Callithrix jacchus: one gene and its partner. Each later gene encodes a partner of the first gene's protein in a complex. Links are inferred from orthologs where the notes say so. Each region holds a gene or a part of one and is shown in the gene's direction. Other genes may lie near its edges.

Region 1 (3,615 bases):
AATGACCTGCTTATAGTCAGTGTTCAATAAACATATAACAAATGAAAAAAATGAAAGTGAATGTTAGTAATGTCCATTCCAATATAATTTGAAGATTTTATTGTAAGTTCCCACAGTTGTAGAAAAGTCAATGGAAATCCTAAATAAAAATTTGTCATGTGGCTTGAGAAAAGATAACATTGTGTCTTATTTTACTTTAGAATGACCATTACTTTCAACTAAAATCATTATGATCAATAAAGTAATATTGTTTGTTGATATGGCATTTATATTTGTATATATAAATTGTAAATCTTAGGTAATCAACTGGCATATGAAAATAGAAGAACTTCGTCTTCAAGAGCTTAAACTAAATCGAGAATTAGTCAAAGATAAAGAAGAAATAAAATATTTAAATAATATAATTTCTGAATATGAACATACAATCAGCAATCTTGAAGAAGAAATTGTGCAACAGAACAAGGTTTTATATTTGTTTTGTATTTTCTAAGATTTTAGATAAGAATATTGCACAAATGACTATGTTATTCTAATTGAATTCAGCTTTTATTACTAATTGATTACATAATAATTTTTTCTTATTTTTTCAACTATTCTGAAAATTTATATTTAGTTTTTATAACATTAGTCTTAAAAAGGGCAATATATAGACAACCTCATTGATAAGTTAATTTTTATTTTGAGATTGGTTATTTGACTTTTCACAGTTCCAGGTTTCTACTGGCTCTCACTGACAGAGTAAGAAGGCAGCTTGTTATAGAATAAAGTGTGCGCTACAGAGACAGATGAAATTCATCAGACATATGACTGTCTCAGAGATTGTTCCCTCTGCTTAAATTGTTCTTACCATAAATACCCGTGGTGTTTACACTTTCAGTGCCTGCAGGTCTTAGCTCATATGTCTTATCTTATCAGTGCATCCATCACCAGCCACCTAAGATACAACCGTAAATTCTACTGTCAAGATTCCCTAAATAGAGATTATCTTAATTTTTCTCCATAGCACTTGTAACCTTCAGGTATATTACATACTTACTTGTTTATTATTGACTGTCTCTCCTTCACCAGAATGTAAGTTCCATGGTGACATGGACTTGGTTTTGTTTACCGCTGTGTTTGTACTGCCTAGAATGATGCTTTGCACACAATATATATAATTAAATATATTTTGGATGGATGGATGGATGGATGGATAGAGAGATTTAAATTACATCTGCCTTTCTGCCTTTCTTACTTCACATGTGCCTTTCTCTGTGATCTTACACAAGTTACGTCACCTCTCTGAGTTTATATTATTTTTCATAAAAGGAAAATAATTACAGTTTCATCAATGTGTTGTGAGGATTAGTTAAGAAAAAATATATGAAATGCTTGTTATGTGCCTGATGTCTTTGTGTATGTGTCTGACACAAATTGTCTTTTGTTAGTTTCATGAAGAAAGACAAATGGCTTGGGATCAAAGAGAAGTTGACCTGGAACGTCAACTAGACATTTTTGATCGTCAGCAAAATGAAATACTAAATGCAGCACAAAAGGTATGAATGATTAATCTTGTTTGCTATTCTGTAGCATGGCCTAGAGTGTTAATTCACAGAAATATTTCCTGTATCAGATATAATTTTAACTGATGTTATATTTGTATATATTAATTGATCTTATATTTGTATATTTAAAATATGAGGGGTTTAATCTATGTTTTATCATAAAGCCGTAAAAGTTAATATTGTTATTTTCAATGCTGTAACTGCTTTTTTAAGAAAACATACTATTTGTTAATAGTTTGAAGAAGCTACAGGATCAATCCCTGACCCTAGTTTGCCCCTTCCAAATCAACTTGAGATTGCTTTAAGAAAAATTAAGGAGAACATTCGGATAATCCTAGAAACACAGGCAACTTGCAAATCACTTGAAGAGGTAATTAGAAAAAATTGCATTTTGATTCGTGTATTCTTTGGAATGTTTGTGGGGGGTGTTAAATAATGTTTCTTTATGAGGATGATGCATAGAATGATGAATCTGTTGCTAATTTCACTCTTTTTCTGTTCTCCTTTAATGCTTCTAACAACTGATAATGAATAGCAGATATGGTTAATTTGAATTCACTGTTTGTTTTTTTTTTTTTTTGAGACGGAGTTTTGCTCTTGTTACCCAGGCTGGAGTGCAATGGCGTGATTTCAGCTCACTGCAACCTCCGTCTCCTGTGTTCAGGCAATTCTCCAGCCTCAGTCTCCTTAGTAGCTGGGGTTACAGGCACACGCCACCATGCACAGCTAATTTTTTGTATTTTTAGTAGAGACGGGGTTTCACCATGTTGTCCAAGATGGTCTCGATCTCTTGACCTCATGATCCACCCGCCTCGGCCTCCCACAGTGCTGGGATTACAGGCGTGAGCCACTGCTCCCGGCCCTGAATTCACTATTTAGTTATAACTTGTTACCTTTAGGTTCACTGATCAGCACTAGCGTGAAAGGAAAAAAAAGCATTTAATTGTAGCTTTATGAACCATATATTATTTTCCTTTATATGATCTTTCCTTATTTTTTTGGTTTTATTTTGAAGTACATGTTACATAATCTATTAATCCATTTTCAGTTCATTCCTTTTTATGCATGGCTAAAGGGTTGAAGGTAAATTAGAAATTATTTTCTGTTTTAATCTAGATCTTGACTTTGGTTAGTAGGTGATCAAATCTGTCATCTTTATTAAATTATTTTGAAAATAATTAAAAATATGATTTTCATGTTAGTTTCCATATAAATATATTAACCCCAAATACACTTAAAAATATATGTAAAGGAGTTTTTCAAGTAAAATTGTACATTTTTAATCAGTTCAGGAAACTTAGATTTTCCTCAGTAATTGTAAGATTTGTCATTTATGTGAATTGCCACTGAATCACTTAATTTAAAATACCTTAATCCTCTTGAAGAGTAAAAATTTTTCTAGTTTTTTTTTTTCTGTTTTGTTTTAATAAAGTGCAGGTTTTATAATACTAATTTCTTGACTTGGGCCACTAAAATTCCAGTTTTGTACTTCACTGACTTTAGATTAGTCTTCTAATGCTCTGCTAGTCAATGGACCAAAATAAAGGAAATAATTTATTACATATTCTTCCTAAATCTAGCACAACCACACATTTGTAGTTCTAAACTGTAATATCTCAATAAAGTACATTAATTAAATTTTATTTTTGTTGTAACAGTGAAGTTTCTAACATATGTAATACTCTTATAAACTATGTAAATAAATGTTGTCAATTAGAAATAGTTTAACCTTATTAAGTATCAAATGGCTATTGTACATATGATGAGAAAAATAAAGTGAATTTTTTTTTGCTAATAACCTAAAATTCAGATGAAGTATTTAAAGGAAAAAATATGCTTTACTGATTTATTGTGATTTAATCATTGCAGAAGCTAAAAGAGAAAGAATCTGCTTTAAGGTTAGCAGAACAAAATATACTGTCAAGAGACAAAGTAATCAATGAACTGAGGCTTCGATTGCCTGCCACTGCAGAAAGAGAAAAGCTCATAGCTGAGCTAGGCAGAAAAGAGATGGAACCAAAATCTCATCACACATTGAAAATTGCTCATCAAACTATTGCAAACATGCAAG
Region 2 (4,267 bases), on another chromosome or scaffold:
TTGAGACAGAGTCTCGCTCTGTCGCCCAGGCTGGAGTGCAGTGGCGCGATCTCGCCTCACTGCAACCTCCACCTCCAGGATTCAAGAAATTCTCCTGCCTCAGCCTCCCGAGTAGCTGGAATTACAGGTGCTCGCCATCATGCCCAGCTAATTTTTATATTTTTAGTAGAGACCGGTTTTCACCATGTTGATCAGGCTGGTCTAGAACTCCTGACCTCAGGTGATCTGCCCGCCTTGGCCTCCTAAAGTGCTGGGATTACGGCCATGAGCTACTGCGCCAAATTTTCTAAAATAAAGTTTAAGAACAAATGCCCCATTCTTTTTATAGAATTATAATTGTAGCGTTTCCCTTTTCATAGCATATAGTATCTTGCGGATTTGTTTGCATGTCTATTATTGATCTCCCTGACTAGAATCCACCTACTAGGTAATCAGTAAATACAAACAATATTTGAAGAAATGAGAAATGCCTCTTGGGCATATATTTAGACTGGCTAAAGGCACTGAGACGGGGAGTGAGGAAGAGGAAGCGGTTGTTCTCCGGGGAAATGAGCCGGGAGGACCCTTGAGAATGGGACTTGACAGCATTGCGAGAAGAAAGAGCTTTCCGATCAGCGGGGACCTGCGCTGAAACCCAAAGGTCATGAGGTTGCCGATGATAAGAGCTTCTTGGACTGTAGCTGGGTAATGTCGGAGGCCCAGCACCTCCAAGAGATAAAGAAATCTGATTTGAGTTTCCGTTCCAGTCAGCTCCAAGCCTCCCAGGGATGCAGGGACTGTCCATTCCCTCCATCCACTCCCACCCTTTCCGGTCCCCTTGCTCTGCCATTTTTTGCACTCTGCAAATCCCTCACCAAACTGAGCAAAGTTAGACTGAGAGAAATCAGTCTTCCTCAAGGAAAGTTCAGGCCTGGGGTCCTCAGACATCCAGGGGCTCCGTGACAATCTGTGACTGCTGAGCAGTCTAGGGACACCGCCTCTCCAAGTTCGGGACCCTTGTTTCTGAGGCCAGCTTGGTGGGAAGCTAAAGGCATACGGAGGAGGGGAAGGGGAGCGTGTCTGAGTCTTCGGCATGGCGGGGACCCGGACCTCAGCCCGGCATGGCGGTGGCGCGGCCTCAGGAGATCCACAATTGTCGGTGTAGAAGGGGCTGGGGGCCGCTCCCGGCAACTGCGGAAGCCGAGGTGCCCCCAGGCTAGCCCAGGTCGGTTTCCGTTCGTCGGTCCTGGGCGGGTAGATCGGGCGCTGCGGGGCCGTGCCACCTCGCACCCTCTCAGGAACAAAGGGCTTGGCTACGCGCGGATACCCAAACGTTGGGTTAGAATGGCATTCGGGGAAGCCCTGACCTGCGCAAGCCGGAAGAGGCCAGCAGCAGCTTGAGAATATACTGCTCTCGCGATGTTTTTCGAGAACGCGGCGCCGCGTTCGCGTACGGAGTTACCAAGGTAACTGGGCGGTGCCTGAGCGGGCGGGAAGGAGGCGTTCGTCTAGATTTTGTCCGCTTGCAGGGAGACTTCAGGAGTCGCTCTCTTTGAAATTCCGGCCTCTGAGACCGCCGCCCCTGTTTCCAAGGGCCATGGGCCGGGTCTCAGGGCTCGTACCTTCTCGCTTCCTGACGCTCCTGGCGCATCTGGTGGTCGTCATCACCTTATTCTGGTCCCGGGTAAGACCCACGGCTGACATCCGTCCGCCCCTATTCCCACCTCGGAGTGGTCCCAGCCCCATCTTGCCCCTCTCCCAGTGTCTTACCCACTTAGGTCTTCTCGTTCCCCGCCGCCCCCAGGCCTGCCTCGCCGCCCGTCCCTTTTTCACTTCTCTTCCTCTCTGCTCTGCTCCCAGGACAGCAACATCCAGGCCTGCCTGCCTCTCAGGTTCACCCCCGAGGAGTATGAAAAGCAGGACATTCAGTGAGCTCTCTCGGAATGGGCTGGTCAGAACGGAGAGGTGGTGGGAGTGGAGGGTTCTTAGAAGTCCAAGGGCCTGAGGCTGTCCACTTCCTTTCTGCAGGCTGGTGGCCGCGCTCTCTGTCACTCTGGGCCTCTTTGCAGTGGAGCTGGCCGGTTTCCTTCTAGGAGTCTCCATGTTCAACAGCACCCAGAGCCTCATCTGTATCCTTTCCTCCTGCTCACCTTTCCCACACGACCATTTCCATCAGGACTCCCTTCAGCCACCTGACACCATAGTGTCTGCTGTAACCAATCTCTCCAGTTCGGATATCTTCAAACATGTGCTAAATCCTGCTGTTTACTAGGCACTTAAAATCCCAAAATGAGAGTAAAACAGTTTTCGGCCAGGCACGTTGACTCATGTCTGTATTCCCAGCAGTGTGGGAGGCCCAGGCAGGAGGATTGCTTGAGGCATCATAGTGAGACCCTATGTCTACAAAAATAATAGTAATAATGAGAACTTCACCTTTTTTGTTTATCATGAGGAGGAGGCAGACACATATCTGTAATTCAGTGATAAGCAGGGTGCTATAGGAGTGTGTAAAGAGGGGTGGGCGCGGTGGCTCACGCCTTTATTTCAAGCAACTTTGGGAGGCCAGGACAGGTGGATCATTTGAAGTCATGAGTTTGAGACCAGCCTGACCAACATGGTGAAACACCATTCTCTACTAAAAATACAAAAATTAGCCGGGCGTGGTGACGGCACACCTGTAACCCCAGCTACTCAGGAGGCTGAGGCAGGAAAATTGCTTGAACCTGGGAGGCAGAAGTTGCAGTGAGCCGAGGTTGAGCCACTGCACTCTAGCCTGGGCAACAGAGTGAGACTCCGTCAAAAAACAAACAAGCGGGACACGGTGGCTCAAGCCTGTAATCCCAGCACTTTGGGAGGCCGAGGCAGGTGGATCACGAGGTCAAGAGATTGAGACCATCCTGGCCAACATGGTGAAACCCCGTCTCTACTAAAAATTCAAAAATTAGCTGGGCGTGGTGGCGTGTGCCTGTAGTCCCAGCTACTCAGGAGGCTGAGGCAGGAGAATTGCTTGAACCCGGGAGGCGGAGGTTGCAGTGAGCCGAGATTGTGCCACTGCACTCCAGCCTGGTGCCTGGTGACAAAGTGAGACTCTGTCTCAAACAAACAAACAAACAAACAAACAAACAAAAGGTAGAAAGCACAATGGGAACTCAGAAATGGCAAAGGAAATGAAGCACGTGGGTCAGAGAACTGTGAACCAGGAGTGCTAGAACCCTGGAGGCTGATTCCAGCAGAGCATATCAATTCGCTGTCAGCACTCCTGTGTGGCATGGTAGGAGAGCCTACTCTTACCTCTCATCTGAAGGGTCCAAGCTGGCCTCTAGATGTGGGGTAGGCTAGCCTGAGGTCCCATCTATGCAGTTACTTCTGGTCTCTCCTCATATGACCATCCTACAATTCAGAAGTCAGGGCTGCTGACTCTAGCCCTTGCAATATGGTGAGGGAGCAAGCGATGAACCTGAGTGCAGATGCCAACCCCACCACTGATGTTTTCTGATCCATCACTATCTGTCGATCCAAAGACTTTCCTTAACTGTGGTGCCTTCCCAAGCCATTGGGGCTCACTGTAGTGCATCCGTGGCCCTGTCCTTCTTCATATTTGAGCGTTGGGAGTGCACTACGTATTGGTACATTTTTTTCTTCTGCAGGTGTGGTAACACCCAATATTTGGGGATGAGGGAGGAAGGTTTACCCTAAATCTGAAAGTTTTCCCCCACCCGGTCCCTTCTTCCATGCATGAGATCCTGTAGTCTTTTTCATCCCCCATCCCCATGCCACCTGCCCTATACTTTCAGGGGTGGGGTCTCTAGTTTGGAGATTTGCATATTTATATTGAAAGGATTTCTGAATCTACCACCTGCTTCGGTAGTGCCCTTCCAGCTGTCACTGAAATGGCTTTATTCATCGCCATCTTTGGGCTGAAAAAGAAACCTTTCTGATCACCTTCCTGATGGTCGAAGGCTACATGGGAGGCCGCTTCGTATTCCTGGAAGAAGAAAGGCATAGGCTTCAGTCTTCCCCTTGGAAACTGCTTCTGCTAGAGGATATGTGTTGGATGTATGGGATTATCAGCATTGTATTTAGTGTTTTGTAATAAAATATGTTTTGTAGTAAGATCAAGAGTTATATAGTTTTCAGGGGACAATTGGGATGGCTTAACTATTGAAGAAAAAAACAACTACGCTGTTTTCTAGTCCTGCAGACCGTAAGATACTTGATATCGCTTCTATTTTGGTTATTACGGTAGACGTCTGGGGGAAGGAAGTGGGCGGGGATATGTAAATAAAAG

The links. The genes of interacting proteins can lie anywhere in the genome.
Region 2: CEP290 (region 1) and TMEM107 share a complex: the UniProt entries of both Homo sapiens proteins name them as parts of the tectonic-like complex. The link is inferred for Callithrix jacchus from reciprocal best matches to the Homo sapiens genes CEP290 and TMEM107.

The regions. Positions count from the first base shown.
Region 1 is NC_133510.1:93,099,018-93,102,632, forward strand, and holds part of CEP290 (centrosomal protein of 290 kDa), read left to right. Parts: intron 1-298; coding exon 299-463; intron 464-1,427; coding exon 1,428-1,535; intron 1,536-1,779; coding exon 1,780-1,914; intron 1,915-3,413; coding exon 3,414-3,615. UniProt on the Homo sapiens protein: Involved in early and late steps in cilia formation. Its association with CCP110 is required for inhibition of primary cilia formation by CCP110.
Region 2 is NC_133506.1:74,652,722-74,656,988, reverse strand, and holds TMEM107 (transmembrane protein 107), read left to right. Parts: upstream 1-1,451; 5' UTR 1,452-1,576; coding exon 1,577-1,663; intron 1,664-1,839; coding exon 1,840-1,907; intron 1,908-2,007; coding exon 2,008-2,108; intron 2,109-3,529; coding exon 3,530-3,626; intron 3,627-3,847; coding exon 3,848-3,917; 3' UTR 3,918-4,092; downstream 4,093-4,267. UniProt on the Homo sapiens protein: Plays a role in cilia formation and embryonic patterning. Requires for normal Sonic hedgehog (Shh) signaling in the neural tube and acts in combination with GLI2 and GLI3 to pattern ventral and intermediate neuronal cell types.